4 linked regions of the Schizosaccharomyces pombe genome follow. The gene in region 2 interacts genetically with the main gene of each other region. Each region holds a gene or a part of one and is shown on either strand. Other genes may lie near its edges.

Region 1 (3,561 bases), 1.3 Mb from region 2:
TCATGAAAGAATACTGGAGATTTGATTCACGACTGTGGATGATGTTTACATATACTATTAAACATTGATTAATTTTGTAGACTAAAAACAGTAAACAACGTTATCAGCTTCAAAAAGTTTTTAAATTTGAATTAATAATTTTTTTATCTTAATAAATAAAGCTATACTACCAAAATTCTTCAATAATAAAAAAACCCTCAATCACCTACTACCGTCCTTTAATTACACTCTTCATCGGCTTCACTTCCTCGCCGAATCTTTGTTTACTTGTACCATCGGTGTTTATTGATTTTATTCGGCAAAATAATTCATCAAAGAAGAAGGGCAACACTTGTATGATTTCTTGGTATGACTGTACATTGGAGGAAATAATGACTGACCTGTTTTTCTTCTTTTTTTTTTTTTTTTTTTTTTTAAAAATTACCGGTCTTACGATACATTCACATCTACCGCTTGACAACAGCTGCAAATTTCATTACACTTGGATATGTAAGATGGTCAATAAAATCAAACGATTTTCTTAGGCTAGTCAAGTCATACTTACACAACAAATTGTCAAGAAAAATTACCAACCATCATCATATAGACACTGTATATAAGCCTTCGGTGAATATTTACACTAAACTAGCCGAACAATTTTTCCATAAGAAATATTATTTTATATTCAATTTAATCTTACAGCTCCTGTAAATAGCCGATCGTTCAAGTATATTTTGTATATTTATTTACTCGATTAATGGTATTTGTTTACTTTAATAATTATTATTAACGGAGATAAAAAGGTTCCTTTCTACTACTAGTCAAATACATAAGCTTCTTTAACAAAAACAAACCCTCGATTATGTAGAACAATGCTTGCTGCTATATTCTATAGTCCATCAGCATGAGCGTTATTTCTGATTCATAATGGTTTACCGAGAGAATTAATGGTAGCAAAATGACCTTGGATTTCAGGAGAGCCGATTCCGAATAGTTGGGATCTTGTTTGCTAAATCGAATGCTTAATTCTAGTAACTAATCCCATAACGACTGTTAGATTATCAGAATTTTCTTATTCTGTTCATTCGCTTCAGGTTAGGTTAATGTGACTGCTTCGTAGTACCGGATGGAAATAATAAAGGTTGCATTTTCCTTAGTTTATAGCCTACCCAACGCACACAAGTCAAATTGCTTGCAAAAGAAATTTCCACGTTTGCAAGTGCCAATGATTGTGCGAAGACTATTGCCTCTTTTGGCATGTAGTCATCTTAGTACTCTTTACTGCATTCTTCAACTTTGTGAAATTGCAGTGAGTCGGTAGGCTACAACATATTAATGTAGTTGCTAGGTAGCTTTATAGGATGAACGTGATTAGCTTGATGATATAAACTAAGACTTGTTTTACCATATTTAAATAAAACTTTGATATCAATCGATAATTCTACTGAAACGGAAATAATGTTGGAGAGTAGTGAGATACTAGTTGGTAATCTAGCACACAAAGCAAGTAAACTAGTTGGTTTAAAAAAAGGATAAATTTAAATCGTAATGATACTGATATATTGCTAGTTATATATAAAGCACTTTTAATCATAGTCTTGAAAGGTTTGCATTTTGTACGAGTGGAAGCATACTATTTCAAATGATATAGGCATGCGTTCGACTCATGCTGCTACCATGATGAACACGAGCCAGAAGGCTCAATATTCTATTAAACCCAGCTCTTTGAACCAATAGTTGTGAAACGAGAAACAAGTTCTGAACAGCAGTTTGTTTAAACATTGTTCGTGTATGCCTGGATAACTATGCTGTTGAGAAATTTTGTTTTTTTTACTAAAAAAATGTCGTGCGACTACGATTTCTCGCTTTGTTGAATAAATCAAAACACCATTACGCAGACTATACATGCATAAAGAGTATTGTAACCTTTTGTAAGATTCTTGTCATAGTAAATAAGATATGCTATGTTCCATTCTGTGCGTATATATGAGCAACATAATCATTGATATATAATTACATAACTAACCAAAATTTTTAACTTATGCTTTATTACAGTGCCTTTTAAACAGTTTATGTGTGCAGAAAACGAGACTGCAATAAACATATTCTCTATAACCGTCCGTATATAGTAATGTACCATGGTAACAAAACTATCGTACGTATTCTTCTAAGCAGGTAGTGCGAAGGTTTTGAGAGAATCATGCGACCAGTTGATTCTTCCATAAACCAACACCATGGCATCTACACAAGTTGTTTTTATAGTAACCTTATTTCTTTATTTGCTAATCACTCGCTGGAGAAGGAAGAATGAGAAATCTTTTATTGCAAGCGAAGAGCCAAAACAGCCCGAATGGAGAGATTATACTCCAGCAGAACTGAAGGAATATAATGGCTCCAAAAATTCATTGGTTTTTCTTGCTATCAAGGGAACTGTGTACAACGTTACAATGGGATCAAAATTTTATGGTCCACAAGGCCCTTATAGTGCTTTTGCCGGTCATGATGCCAGTCGTGGTTTAGCAAAAAATAGTTTTGACGATGAATTTATTCCTGATTCAGATGCAGAAGAATTGGATGATTGCAGTGATTTAAACGATGAGGAGAGGCAGGCTCTAAACGATTGGAAAGCATTTTTTGACCAAAAATATCAAGCTGTTGGCAGGCTGATAAGTCCCAGAGAGGCCAGAGCAGCAGCTACTATTTCAGAAACCGAAGAAAAAGTTGCGCATAATTAATAGCGACAAACCTGTTTTTTATGACTTCTTTCATGCTTATGGGTTTATGATCTTTTCTTTGGGATAATCTAGGACAAGTGGTATACGTTCCGCGTCCGAAGGATCAATCTGTAGTATTTGGGTACATTTGATGATGTGTTATGAAATTACTAGAAGCATGATTGCTTTCAAAAATTATCTTGCATGAAATAGAGGCTCTTAAGCAATGTTGAAAAAAGTCCTTGTAGCAGTAATTTTGGTGCCTTGATAAGGTTACGATAGCATCTTTTAAAAAACATTGTATGTCATTTCCATGTTTTTTTTTGACAATGAAAACTTAATAACCATCTGTGTCTTCTATTTTGTTGTAACATATATAAATGGTAGTAGATGTATGATCCATTTTGAAGAATTATTGTAAACCGTTGTTCATCTGATAATTATTAGCACAACTTTTCTCGTTTAGATAACTTTATTTCGTATTCGGAGAATCTTACCCTTACCCTTAAAATCCTTCGTCAGTAGCTGGAAGAAGGACAAAATTGTTTTGTCACGAACAAATAGGTGGTAAAAGAGTTAAAGCGTCATGGACGTCCTTTCGAGAGTCTTTGACAATGAAAAAGAAGAACTGGATCCTTTATTGAACAATCCACTTACAGCTAGTGAGTTCCGAGCCAAAAAAGCAGAACTGGAAGCTGAATTGGAATCTATTCGTAACGGAACTTGTAAAACTCTTTTAGATTTGGCAGATGAACTTAGAAGGAGTAGAGATGAGGAATTGGAAATTGCAGAGCGTTGGAGAACGTTTTTGGTGAATCGGGCACAAGAGGAATACGAAGTGGAGATGAAAGCAGCCAAGGAGGAGTAC
Region 2 (3,801 bases):
GTTGCTATGCAATCCTCCTTATATATCTGATGATGATTTTGCTGCACAAACCGACATTTCTGTGCGCAAATACGAGCCCAAGCTGGCTCTTTTAGCTAAAAACGGAGGTAATGAGTTTTATTACAAATTTAGTCAGTACATAAAAAGGATGTTACAAAGAAACGCCAAGGATTTTGTACCTTTATCCTTAATAGTTTTTGAAATCGGTAGCACTCATCAAGCTAAAATAGTGAAATCATTATTTGATGATACCAACTGGCAAGCGAATATTGAACAGGATGGCGCACATCAAGATCGAGTGGTAATAATCACCAGAAAAGATAGACGACTCATTGACATTTAAAAAGACTTCATTTGCTAAAACACAAAGAAATTATAACGCACTGAATCAAACATCGTTTTGAATCTGACCTGACTTACAAACATTTACGACTTTAGTCATAAATTCCAGACTAAGCTAACACTTAATACAATGATGAATTCAAAGTTACTAGGAGATTAAATCAAAATGAAACAAAAAAAAACTTTTTATTTAGTGAGTAAAAATAATATCAACAGATAAAATTAAACATTAAATGACATCTGCATTACGGAGAATATAAATCCTTCTCTAATATTTACCACCCGCGAGTAGCCAATTTTTCCTTCTCCTCCAAAGAGCTAACGCTGCGACCAACCATGGCGGCGCCCAAGTTCTCACTAACTTCAGCTAAAATCTTAGGATCGTTATAGTGAGTAACGGCACGAACAATGGCACGAGCACGCTTGGCCGGGTCACCAGACAAGAAGATGCCAGATCCTACAAAAACACCATCACAGCCAAGTTGCATCATGAGAGCAGCATCAGCAGGAGTGGCAACACCACCAGCAGCAAAGTTGACAACAGGCAAACGGCCTAATTGAGCACACTCCTTAACCAAATCAATGGGGGCGGCAATCTCCTTGGCATAGGTGTACAACTCATCGGGAGACATAGACTTCACACGACGAAGTTCACCTTGCATTTGGCGAGTGTGGCGGACAGCCTCCACAACATCACCAGTACCGGCCTCACCCTTGGTACGAATCATGGCAGCACCCTCGGAAATACGGCGCAGAGCTTCACCCAAGTTACGGCTGCCACAAACAAATGGAACAGTGAACTTGGATTTCTCGATATGGTTGATATCATCAGCAGGCGTTAAAACTTCAGACTCATCAATATAGTCAACACCAATGCTTTCCAAAATTTGAGCCTCGACGAAGTGTCCAATACGAACCTTAGCCATGACAGGAATTGAGACAGCAGCTTGAATTTCCTTGATCATAGAGGGATCGGACATACGAGCAACACCGCCCTGAGCACGAATATCGGCAGGAACACGCTCCAATGCCATGACAGCGCAAGCACCAGCAGCTTCAGCAATACGAGCTTGCTCTGCATTCACGACATCCATGATAACGCCACCCTTGAGCATTTGAGCAAGACCAGCCTTGACTTGAGTAGATCCCTTAATTTCGGCAGACATGATTAAGTAGATGCGATTAATTAAAATTTACTTTTTCCAAGCAAACAATAGGATGTATAAAGTGGTAAAACGAAAATGCAACAATGATTTTTCTATAGATATAATGGTCTTTGCCTTTAGACAAATGAGATACAAGGATCCTTTAAAGAAAACACCTAAAAATCAAAAAAATGAACCTTTCGAAACTCAGAACCTGACCAAGTTTTTATGTCAACACACAAAATGTGACTGTGATGATGGAAGAAATTAATCGAATAGCAAACAACACTCGCCTTATATACATTTTCATGCTTACCAAGATGTAATATAACGAAGCGTAGCATACACTACTTTAGGAAGTAAATGTCCGAAACCATTTGATTGATCCCGATAAGTATACAGTGGAGGCGCGTAGAAGATGTAAGCAACTTACAATTGATGTTGAAGCGATTTACAAAGAGGCGGATGTCTTTCTTTATCTAAACGACCTGCTAAACCTAACGTCAAATTGTTATGCTTGGAGGGAAAGCACAAAAACTGTTTCTCTCCTAAAGTCGACTTTAATAAAAGAATCCTCCTATTTATTTACATGCTGCAATTATCCGACAATTCATACTTTTGAGATGCTTCGTCATACTTTTAAAACGTACAAAACAATAAAGAATTACTAAATGAAATTGCTCATCATATATCCGGCGTATAAGTCATGTCTTTACTACCTTTATGGAAAGTTGCATACATTTTTTAGCGATCAATGGTAACAGGCGTGAACCGATTGCATCGGAAATATGGATATAAGCGTTCTACCAGATAATTTCTTGGTATGTTACCGATCAGCGTCTGCAATGTCCGTAATTTTTTGATGGATTAGGATACTGACTACCGACACCCAATATTCTTTATCTTATTTTGTGGGGACTGAGGTATCCAAGTCGCCGAAGAATGATCGATGTATCCATCTTGCGAGATATTTGCATGTCCATGGAAATAGATTTTATCAATACTAATTAAGAAGCCGCAAGTAGAGCCTTTCCTAACAAGGGCTTTATGCATCGCTTTATATACGCTGCTTCAATTGTCATTAGATTTTTGTTATGCAGTAATGTTTAACATTGTTTACCTTGAAACAAGATCGTTGAACTGGAAATGTAGTAATACTTCAAGGACTCCTCGTGTCCTGTTTGTTGTTTAATATAAACATACCAGGAATTGATTGGTATAACAATAACTGACTAGTAAAAAAAATCTGAAAAGAAACACATATTATTTATAACACTGCAATGTACCTAAAAACTGAAATACTCGTTTTCCACTGCTGTCTTATAGACTCATTTGAAAGGGTTTCAGCGTTTTTGTATGCAGTCATCCTCCCTATGAAACTAGTTGGCCATAAAGCGGTAGTAATTACTTTTGTTTTTCAAGCTAATAGCGGATGAGTAGAAGTACCAAAAAATTTACAACAAACTTTATCAAAATAACATCCTAGTTGTAAATTTTATGTGTAGATTAATTGATTTTATGGTATCTTTTGTTTTTAAATAAATTATTCCATTTTTCCCTCTCAAATTATTATTTTTTTTTTAAATATGACTGTTTTTTGCCATATTCGCTGTTTAGTTTGCACTTTTTTAGTTAGCTGAGTAACGTTATTACTGTCTCTTTGTAATCTATAAATATAAGCATTTTATTACATCTTTTCAAAAAAAAAATAATAATAATAATAATAATAAAATTTTATTACTGAAACAGCGTAGAATTCCGTGGCATGTTGGGTAATACTTTTCACATGCCGTAGAGAAAATATCAAAAATTGTTTCCTTTTACGTTACAACCCCTACCAACGCCCTAACATCATAAAAGAAAAAGATTTAAAGTAGAAATAACAAGTTACAAAAGTCGCCCGCAACAGGTTACTTTGGTCGATCTACATGTACACCAAAAAAGTGACATTTACTGAGGAAATACGAGGAATGAGTCTTTCAAAAAATTATGTACGTATTAGAAAAAAATTACTATTCAGATATTCAACGACAACAAAGTAATCCATTATAAGTTGGTCAAGCAGAAAACGATAAGCAAATAAGATAAAATAAAAAAAGATATGACTAGATCATTCATAGATGTAAAGAGTTTAATTAACAAGGAGAGACAAATGCCCAAAAGAAGAGGGGGTTTAATTAGTAGAAAATCACTTAGCCGTCACTCACAAAACCAATAATAAAATGTATTAATGGTATAGGGAATCAACAAAGTCAAAGACTAATGAACGAAGGAATAATTGGAACTATGAGGATTGGTGTCAAATTATCCTTAA
Region 3 (6,015 bases), on a different chromosome or scaffold from region 2:
GTTGTATATGTTTTATAAAAGTGACTATTTGTTTTCTTTTTCCTTTTTTTTGTTTGCTAATACTAATTTTATCAGTCCTTTCTGGTTACGATATTGTCAAGAAAATTTCCAAAGCTGAGACTGACAACCGTGATAAGCCTCTTGAAGATGTAAAAATTATCAAATCTGGGCAGTTGTCTCAAGAAAATGTTGAAGATGACGGAACAGATGAATTGTAATCCCTACTTTCTATTTATGAAAGTCATCAACATCTAGTGTTTATAAGATTTACTTGAAAAGCAATGATTTTACATTCTGTTAACATAAACGTTTATCATTGGAAGGATCACTTCTTGTGGTAGTTTGTTTGCATTTTCTGACAGCCATAGTTGTATAACTAATATACGCATAAAGAATGCGATTTTAACAAGTTTTCAATTGAATGAATATAGAACTCTACGTATATTATCCAATTTAGCAAGCGTAATAGCAATGCTGCAATTCTGATAGTAAGTATTGACAACAAACGCGAAGCTTATTAGCTGCTTACTATTTTGTTATGTTTTATCAAAAAGAACTCAAAGACATTATTTTTTCCTATCAGCTGGCTGATATTACTAGCACGTTGTGTAGTTGTTTACCCTATGGGCTCTTAGAAAAGCGGACTTAAGGAATTTCGAGAGTCGGAAGCTGTCCACCGCAAACATTTGGGTAAAATCGGTTTTTGCGTCAATTGTGAGAAATCAATTTCAAACTAATCGTAATGTTTGACTCAACAAAAAAATCACTGCATTCGATGTCGGATTCTGCGAACCGCTTCCAGAATAAGATTACATCGAAATTACCAGGTAAGCATATTTCCTTTGCTTTTTGAGACATTACTAACAAAATGGGATTTATAGGTGAACATGGCGAAGATGCTATGTATGATATTAGATCCGTTCATGGAACCGGGCCTCGTTTATCAATAAAATATGTCGATGTTACAAAATTGCCTCCTCCTCCAAAACATGCTTCACAGTTGCGTGCCGGTGGTAGTAGTACTGGAAGTACACCTAGAACGGCTAGCCCGGCTGTAGGAAATCAAGATTATTCGAAACCCTCTTATTCGCAGCCTTCTTATTCCCAACCTTCACAGCCCCCCAAGGAACCCGCTCTTCCTTCAAGAGGGACTCCTTCACTTCCTAGTCGACCAGGGAGTCGTCCGTCCGTCTTAAATCAAGAACAAGTCCCACCACCTCCTGTTCGTCCTAATGTAATGTCTCAGATGCCCCCACCTCCCTCCTACAGCTCTTCTGGTTCTTATTCCCAAACTTATCAGTCAAACGCTAATTATACTGCCTCTTCTCCTCTCCCTACAGCTTCTGCAAATGCACCCTTGCCGGTTCCTCCTCCCCGAAGGGTTTCTCAAAACAGTTCATATGCATCTGGATCTGTTCCCGCGGCGACTGCTGCTTCTACAGCGTCGCCTGTTAAGAAACCACCTCCACCTGCACCTCCAAAGCCAAGAAGACTTGCTGCCCGAACTTCTAGTAATTCGTCCGGTGTAAGCTCGCCAACTTCTGTTCCACCTCCGGTTCAAAGGAATACTCGACCCAACCTATAAACCAAATTTTTGCTTTCTATTTTCTTTCTCTTACTACACCATTATTACCTAGGATGGCCTATTTAGCATACTAGATGTTATTCAATGTTTAAATCATAATCTTCTTAAATCAACTTTCCTACGAATAGTCGTACATACTAGGTAATTTGACAATTTAAAATGAAAGGTATCATCAATGTAGGAACGTTCAAAAATCTTAAATAAGGTACTGCGAAGTCGACATGGTAATTTTCTTTGTAAATGTCATAATATTTACTTCTGCATTTAATGACATACATATTATACAAGAAGAGTAAAGAACTTATCTGTTTTAACAGTATTCACCTTCAAAGATCTTAGAAAATTGGTTCAACTGTGATGATCTTTTGACGAAAGAATGTTAGAATGACTACGCCATGAGAACCTGTTGAATATCGTAATATTTAAGAAATAACTATACCAATATATGTATAGTGTAGTATGGCCTAGATATGTACCATACTTTTACAGATTTGTCTTTTTGTTTTGGGTTAGTCCCAATTGTTTATCTGTAGAGCGAAATATAGATCTTTCTTAGAAGGTGAATTGCTTATATGAGTCGCCCTATTGAAATAGCCAATGTGTCTTCTGGAAACCGTAGAACGCTCCCAGCACTTCATGGCTCTAGTTTTTCTAGCCGCTCAGAACTTGACAATAATACAAATTCAAAAATATCACGTCGCTTAAGAGAGTTAGTTTGTCAACGTATGGGTGAAAATCCACTTCGACTTCGACAGTCGTTTCATGAGACAATTTCTAATGATAGTTACGGGAATTCAGAGAAATTGGTATTTAGGCTAATTGTTTGGCTAATTTATTAACAAAATTATAGGTGATCAGGCCCTGCATTTGTTGTAATAGCGTCCTGCGCTACCCTGCACAAGCTATGTGCTTTCGTTGTTCATTATGTATGACTGTGAACGATGTTTATTTTTGTTTAAGTGGCTCCCAAATAAAGACAAAAGCTTCAACCGATGGATCACAATTTATCTCAGTTGAACATTTTGTTGAAACAATTCATCAAACACGAAGTGCCTTGCAACTTGCTAAGCAGCGAACTGGCAACGTTCAAGCTATTGTGGCTGCAGGCTTACCATTACGAGAACTTATATCCTTAGTATTTGGAAGTCCACCGATATTGAATAAACTGTTCTCGGTTAAAAATGGTTGTTCAATCCAATCTTCCGGACTAAATTATAAGCTCATTTACCAATTGTACCATGATATTACAAATTTAGACATTTTAATAACAAATGAGTTGTTAAGAGCTATCGAGAGTTTACTTCGGAGACCCATGCTATATTGTCATGATCCAGCGGATTATCAATATCTTCTCATTCTTTTGGAAAATCCTTTGTTGAACTCAAAATCAAAGAATATAGTGAACAAGAGTAGCAGCATTTTGAAGAGGATTTTGGGAGTTTTATCTAACTTGAACGAGAAGACACATCATTTTTTTATTTCTTGTTTTAAAAAACAACCTTACAACAATCCTAAGTTTTTTCGAAGAAAAGTCGATCTCATAAACAAGTTTATTGGTCAACGATTAATGGAAACTTACAGTAGAAACAAAAGGAAGCACTACTATAATAATGACTGGCAAATTAAGTCAGCAGCTATTACTATGGCCTTATTATACTCTGCTAATTCGCAAATGAGACTGATAGACAGATCTTCATTTTACTGCATAATGGCTGATTTCATAAATCTTTATCACGACTTTGAGTTATGGGAGCAAAAAATCAATTGCTTTTGTTTTTGCCAGTATCCTTTTCTTCTTTCAATGGGTGCTAAAATTAGTATTCTTCAGCTTGATGCTCGGAGAAAAATGGAGATTAAAGCAAGAGAAGCATTTTTCTCTTCAATTCTTTCCAAAATGAACGTTGAACCTTATTTGATGATTCGTGTTCGGCGAGATCGACTGTTAGAAGACAGCCTAAGGCAAATTAATGACAGAAATAAAGATTTTAGAAAGGCATTAAAAGTTGAGTTTTTAGGTGAAGAAGGAATCGATGCAGGAGGATTAAAGAGAGAATGGTTGCTGCTTTTAACGAGGAAAGTTTTTAGCCCTGAGTTTGGATTATTTGTGAACTGTGAAGAGTCTTCAAATTATCTATGGTTTAATTATTCACACAGGTCGAAAGAAATTGATTACTATCATATGTCAGGTATATTGATGGGAATTGCAATCCACAATTCAATAAATTTGGATGTACAGATGCCCAGAGCTTTCTATAAAAAACTTTTACAGTTACCTCTAAGTTTCAATGACTTGGATGATTTTCAGCCTAGTCTATATCGAGGATTAAAAGAGCTTTTACTATTTGAAGGAGATGTAAAAAATACTTACGGTCTTAATTTTACAATTAATCTCAAAGCTGTCGAGGGCTTTCGCACTGTTGAGTTGAAAGAAGGAGGCTCTGAATTGAGTGTTGATAATGAGAACAGAAAAGAATATGTTTTGAGGTATGTAGATTATCTCTTAAATACTACTGTAAAAAAACAATTTTCTGCTTTTTTCGATGGCTTTATGAAAGTATGTGGAGGTAACGCCATATCGTTGTTTCAAGACAATGAAATCAGCAAGTTGATCAGAGGAAGTGAAGAAGTTATTGACTGGGAGCTACTCAAAAATGTCTGCGTTTATGATTTTTATGACCAAAATGCGATTTCAAATTCTATATCTGAAAGTGAACCAAGTATGACTGCATCTAAATATCTCTGCCACTCTTTCGTATCAAAAAGAAAAATAATACTTTGGTTTTGGGATTTGATATCACACTATTCGCTAAAAATGCAAAAACTTTTTCTCATTTTCGTCACAGGAAGCGATCGCATTCCCGCTACTGGGGCACATAATTTTCAATTAAGAATCTCAGTTCTCGGACCTGACAGTGATCAACTTCCTATCTCTCATACTTGCTTCAATCACTTATGTATTTGGGAATACTCCAGTAGGGAAAAGTTAAAAAAAAAATTAGACACGGCGTTGCTTGAAACTAATGGGTTCAATATACGCTAGTGTTTACATCAGGGTTCGCAATTCCTTACCTTTTACTACTATATACATATATCTATTTATTTAAGATCTAAATTAAATTCAACATATTTTAAGGTCTACATTAGCACTAATGGACCTTTATAATTTATCATATAAAATGGGATCGTAAGCAAATCTTTACATAATTCAAATAAGGATGAATATAAAACGTGTCTCTATACAATTTGTTTTTCTTTTTTGAATTGCTGAAATATCTCTTCCATCCTGTCTTCATCAGAGTCATCATCATCATATTCTTCAGCTGAATTGCTTTCCTGTTGCCCCTTGCTTTCAGTTCGCTCTTCGTCAGTATTATCAGAAACATCGTCAGCGTATTCTGAGTTTATGGTTTGTTTATCATGAATGTAGATATCATCGTCTAAGTCAGAATCATCACCTATGAAAGGATCAACGAACTTATCAGATTCCAAATTATCATCACCGTCGTTCCTTTGTGAATGTACACATATCTGACATCGTGGATCCAGGACATGTCTTTGTGCCTTAGAGAATTCATTAATGCCCTTAGTTTGTTGACAAGCGGTACACCAAATTGAATCATGCTGTTTGGGCTGGCAGGTACGACATATCACTTTTGGGTCTGAAACGCTAACCGTTCTCCCACGAACAAATGTAAACGTTTTGCTCCATTGAGTTTTGCTGTAAGAGTCTATCCCTTTAACCTTTCTGCATCTCATACACATAATTAAACAATCATTATCATTTTTCCCTTTTGAATTCAATGTACCCCGGTATTTTTTAGCATGTAGTTTGCAATCCTTCGGATGCTTTTTAATTTTATATTTTCGACTCTTAAAATCCATATTTTTTTATTATTATTAATATGGTAACAATACTCTTATAAATGAATATATGTACTGAAATAATTTTAATTAGCTGCTGACGTTAGAAGCATTAAGTAGACAATACCTTTAATGAACAAAATGTGATAGCCTTGACAACCAAATAGAAGAAACATACAGGCTTAATCAGGATTTAGAAAAAAAAAACAGTAATACAAGCCGTCCTATCAATTGTCATTGAGATCTTTACGCTGATCAGGCTGTAAATGCATTAATATAAAATTTACTACCGTTCGGTTCGATTAATAGGTGAATCAATGATATTAAAGCAAAAAAGAATACATATATTTGTTGATTGCTTCATGTTCTATTGACAATGAAAATTGCACATATTCAAAGGGTTGTTTTCAAAATAAATACTGCTTCCCATTCTATTATTCTCGCCTTCAAGTTTTTGATTGCGAATTATTCTTTGAAAATAAACGGAATAATAAAACTTTAGATAGCCTACACTTTTCCTACCTTAAATGGAATTGTATGATTTGTAAAATCCCGAAGAATGTCAGAAG
Region 4 (3,418 bases), on a different chromosome or scaffold from region 2:
ACCATAGCAAAACCTACTTCTATTGTACATTACAGCTTTCAAGGATTTGTACGTATTGAATCACAGAAAATTCGCCAACATGCTGAAAAGGGAGAGCAAGTTGTGTTTACTGGTGATAGGGTTATACAAACTAACGTCGTCCCTTTTCTTTACCTTACTCTTGATTTACCTCCGAAACCCATATTCCAAGATGAGTTTGAAGGTAATATCATCCCACAAGTAGAATTAAAAGAGATACTTAACAAATATAATGGGGTACATACCCAAGAACTTGCAGGTATGCGACGGCGTTTTCATTTAATGACGGCTCCTCCATACTTTATATTTCACATCAAAAGATTTATGAAAAACAATTACTTTACGGAAAGAAACCAAACTATAGTGACATTTCCTTTGGATGATTTTGATATGAGCCCATTTATTGATGACTCATTTATCCAGTCAAATCCGAAAATCTCTACGAAATACAACCTCGTTGCTAATATTATACATGAGTCCGTGACACATGCTGAAGAAGAATTTCATAACTTCCGAATTCAAATTCGAAACCCCTCTACCAATAAATGGTATCAAATTCAAGACTTATATGTTGAAGAAATCAGTAGCGATATGATTCGTTTAGGCGAAAGTTTTATTCAGCTTTGGGAAAGGTCATCATAGTGTTAATATGTGGAATTTTTGGATTTCTCACAAAATTTCCTCTACGTGAGACAAAATTAAAAAACATTCATTTTATTTATCAAACGTTACCGCTTAGAAAATCTTTATTCTATATAAATTAGATTATCCATTTATATTCCCATTTCGTGAGTAGTCAGCAATTACAATGCTCAAATGAAAGGTTTGTAGTATTCTTTGGTATCAAGACACCAGATTGGTCGAGTAATGTATACGAAACTAGATTTTCATAAAGGTAAATTCGTAAACCGTCATGATTTTAGTTAACAAATTGTTAAGCACCTAAGCTTCGACCTTTTGTAGTTTTCCTTTACTTGAATCACCAACAGGCTCACCAAATAATTCTAAGCGAGAAATCTTAGTAGTTTCTTCTTCTCCGACATTCGAATAAATAAAAATAACGAGAGAATTGACACGTTGAAATTTAACAAAACGAAGGGGAATAATTGTAGGTTGATCGTCTTGTTCGTAAACTATATCCTCAATGACTTGAGTTGGAGTAAATGACTCAGCATCTTCAAAAGAAAGATTGTTGGGCTGATTGATGTACAATTTGATGGTTTTTGGAGCACTCGAAGTTTCTCCCTTAACAGGAGTAATTGCAATAGAATGAACCTTTACCACTTCAAGAAAAGGTATGTATATCATTAATTGCTCGTCAACATCCGACTCTAAAAATGAGGAAGGATTACTGTTAAATGCACTTTTCAAATCGTGATCATCTTGTTGATTTAGACATTCCAATTGGGGATTTTCAATGCAGCCTTGCAAGCTAGCAAAACCCTTGACAGGTGCCGATGACGAAGAAGCAAGAGCGCCAGTTCCTGTGGCTTTTGAGGAAATCAAAGCAACTTTTTCCTTCAAAGCTTGTGGGTTTGCTCCAGTTAGCATATCAATTTGTTTGCCATTTTCAAAGAAAACAAATGTAGGCCTAAAATGTTAGCAAAACCAATGGTACAGTGACGGATTAGGTAAACACATACATTGCTTTGACGCCAAGCCCGGAGGCAATTTGACGTTGCTCGTCTACATTTACTTTAGCAAAAACGAATTTGGGGCTAGCATATTTCGATGCTAATTGTGAAAATAAGGGAGAAATTGCTTTGCAAGGACCACACCAATCGGCATAGCAATCAACTGCAAGATATCCGGACTTAGGGATCGTTGAGATCCAGTGCTGGTACGATCTAATTTCAATAACTGACATATGGTTGAGGTTGAGTTCTATAAACCGTCTGCCAATACCATCTCGTACACCACGACCGTTATTAGTAGTGCGTCTAGCCAACGTCGAAAAACATATTTTTTTATTATTGTTTCCTGGAAACTACCTTTGAGTTTGCTATTTAAACATAGAAGTTGATTAATTGACAGTATTATTTACCGCTCATATTAAACTAGCTGTAATTTTATTTAGACTTAATTTGTTATACATGGTTTAAAAACCGGGTTGTTTTAAGCTGTCAGTTGCTTACTGTAGCATCTGAGTCTATTTCTTAGGTGAAATCGAATGAATTCTTTTTTATTGGCACGAGAATGGGGCCAAGGTAATGCAATTGATTATGTGATATAAGGATTTCAAGTCTCACATTTGTAGAGCCAAATAGCTCTTTTCGAAGGCAACTACTGCAGCATCGTCTTCAACGGTTAGCGCTGAATCCGGATGTGAAAATTAAACGTAGACACGGTGCGGGCATTTTAGGATCCGTAAATGCACTAAGCATTGATAATACAATTCATCAGCTGTATGACCTATATCGTTGATTTATCAAAGCTTTCAATTTTTGGTTAACAATTTCTATTGACAGCATGGTCTCTGGAGGAGCCAACTCGTCTATCAATGTTTGGGACCTACAAAATATTGACCAAAAGGAAGATGAAGATTTAATTTTGGATACCTTAAATGCAGTTCCTGCGTAAGCATTCATTTTCTACCTAGTTTATGACAATTTCAATATATACACTAGTGATCAATAGCTAACTTGCGGTGTTTTAGTCGAACGAGTCATAAGTTTGGAATAACAGATTTGCATTGGTTTCCGTTTGATAATGGTATTTTTACTAGCTCGTCGTTCGATCATACGCTCAAGGTTTGGGATGTTTCTACTTTACAGGTAATAAAAGTAGAAATCGCAAATTAACCAATGTTCTAATATTGGTAGGAAGCTTACACTTTTACTATGGAGGACATGATTTATTCACATGCATGGTCGCCCATTGCATCACATTGTTTAATTGCCAGTACGTTATATTCTTCATTCTTGAGATTGTTCATCTAACGATAGCCGCCTACCGGTCTTCGTCTATTCGGCTTTGTGATATGCAAAGTGGTAGTTATACTCATAGTTTGTCTGGACACACGGGTAATGTCCTTGCGGTGGATTGGTGTCCTAAGAATGAATTCGTGTTAGCGTCCGGCTCTGCAGATGGCACTTGCAGACTTTGGGACATTCGTAAAGTATCATCCAGCTTCGCATGTATGGATCTACATAATAAGTATTTACCCAGTAACCAGACAAATATATCTCATTACGGCACCGTTAATGGATTAGCTTGGACTTCAGATGCTCGATATTTGGCAAGTTGTGGTACCGACGATCGAATAAGAGTATGGAATATGGAAAGTGGAAGAAACACATTGAGAGAATTTGGACCTATTATTCATAACCAGACTACTTCCTTCGCGGTACATCCTTGCATGATCCAACCCTCTATGGATTCAGATGTTTTTGTGTTATTC

The links.
Region 1: mutations in snz1 (region 2) and dap1 together harm fitness more than expected from each alone (negative genetic interaction), as found in Schizosaccharomyces pombe (one large-scale study listed by BioGRID).
Region 3: mutations in snz1 (region 2) and mug30 together harm fitness more than expected from each alone (negative genetic interaction), as found in Schizosaccharomyces pombe (one large-scale study listed by BioGRID).
Region 4: mutations in snz1 (region 2) and txl1 together harm fitness more than expected from each alone (negative genetic interaction), as found in Schizosaccharomyces pombe (one large-scale study listed by BioGRID).

Annotation. Positions count from the first base shown.
Region 1 is NC_003424.3:4,153,260-4,156,820, forward strand, and holds dap1 (cytochrome P450 regulator Dap1), read left to right. Parts: upstream 1-2,200; 5' UTR 2,201-2,213; coding exon 2,214-2,714; 3' UTR 2,715-3,061; downstream 3,062-3,561. Other genes in the region: Clr6 and Rpd3L histone deacetylase complex subunit Sds3, read left to right, coding at 3,280-3,561. UniProt on the Schizosaccharomyces pombe protein: Required for sterol biosynthesis. Functions as a positive regulator of cytochrome P450 enzymes erg5 and erg11. Function requires bound heme.
Region 2 is NC_003424.3:5,412,893-5,416,693, reverse strand, and holds snz1 (pyridoxal 5'-phosphate synthase (glutamine hydrolyzing)), read right to left. Parts: upstream 1,757-3,801; 5' UTR 1,509-1,756; coding exon 618-1,508; 3' UTR 501-617; downstream 1-500. Other genes in the region: mtq1 (S-adenosylmethionine-dependent methyltransferase), read left to right, coding at 1-343.
Region 3 is NC_003423.3:3,686,382-3,692,396, forward strand, and holds mug30 (ubiquitin-protein ligase E3), read left to right. Parts: upstream 1-2,157; coding exon 2,158-2,391; exon of another isoform or gene 2,392-2,435; coding exon 2,436-4,625; 3' UTR 4,626-4,819; coding exon of another isoform or gene 4,820-5,467; 3' UTR 5,468-5,468; downstream 5,469-6,015. Other genes in the region: cyclophilin family peptidyl-prolyl cis-trans isomerase Cyp4, read left to right, coding at 76-218; SPOM_SPBP8B7.26 (uncharacterized protein), read left to right, coding at 743-827, 882-1,585; CLRC complex-Argonaute linker protein Stc1, read right to left, coding at 4,820-5,467. UniProt on the Schizosaccharomyces pombe protein: Probable E3 ubiquitin-protein ligase. Has a role in meiosis.
Region 4 is NC_003423.3:765,594-769,011, forward strand, and holds txl1 (thioredoxin-1-like protein Txl1), read right to left. Parts: upstream 1,898-3,418; 5' UTR 1,886-1,897; coding exon 1,662-1,885; intron 1,610-1,661; coding exon 961-1,609; 3' UTR 759-960; downstream 1-758. Other genes in the region: ubiquitin C-terminal hydrolase Ubp10, read left to right, coding at 1-660; DNA repair ERCC8 family protein ckn1, read left to right, coding at 2,189-2,225, 2,276-2,423, 2,487-2,594, 2,675-2,792, 2,841-2,919, 2,964-3,418. UniProt on the Schizosaccharomyces pombe protein: Has a role in cellular detoxification of alkyl hydroperoxide.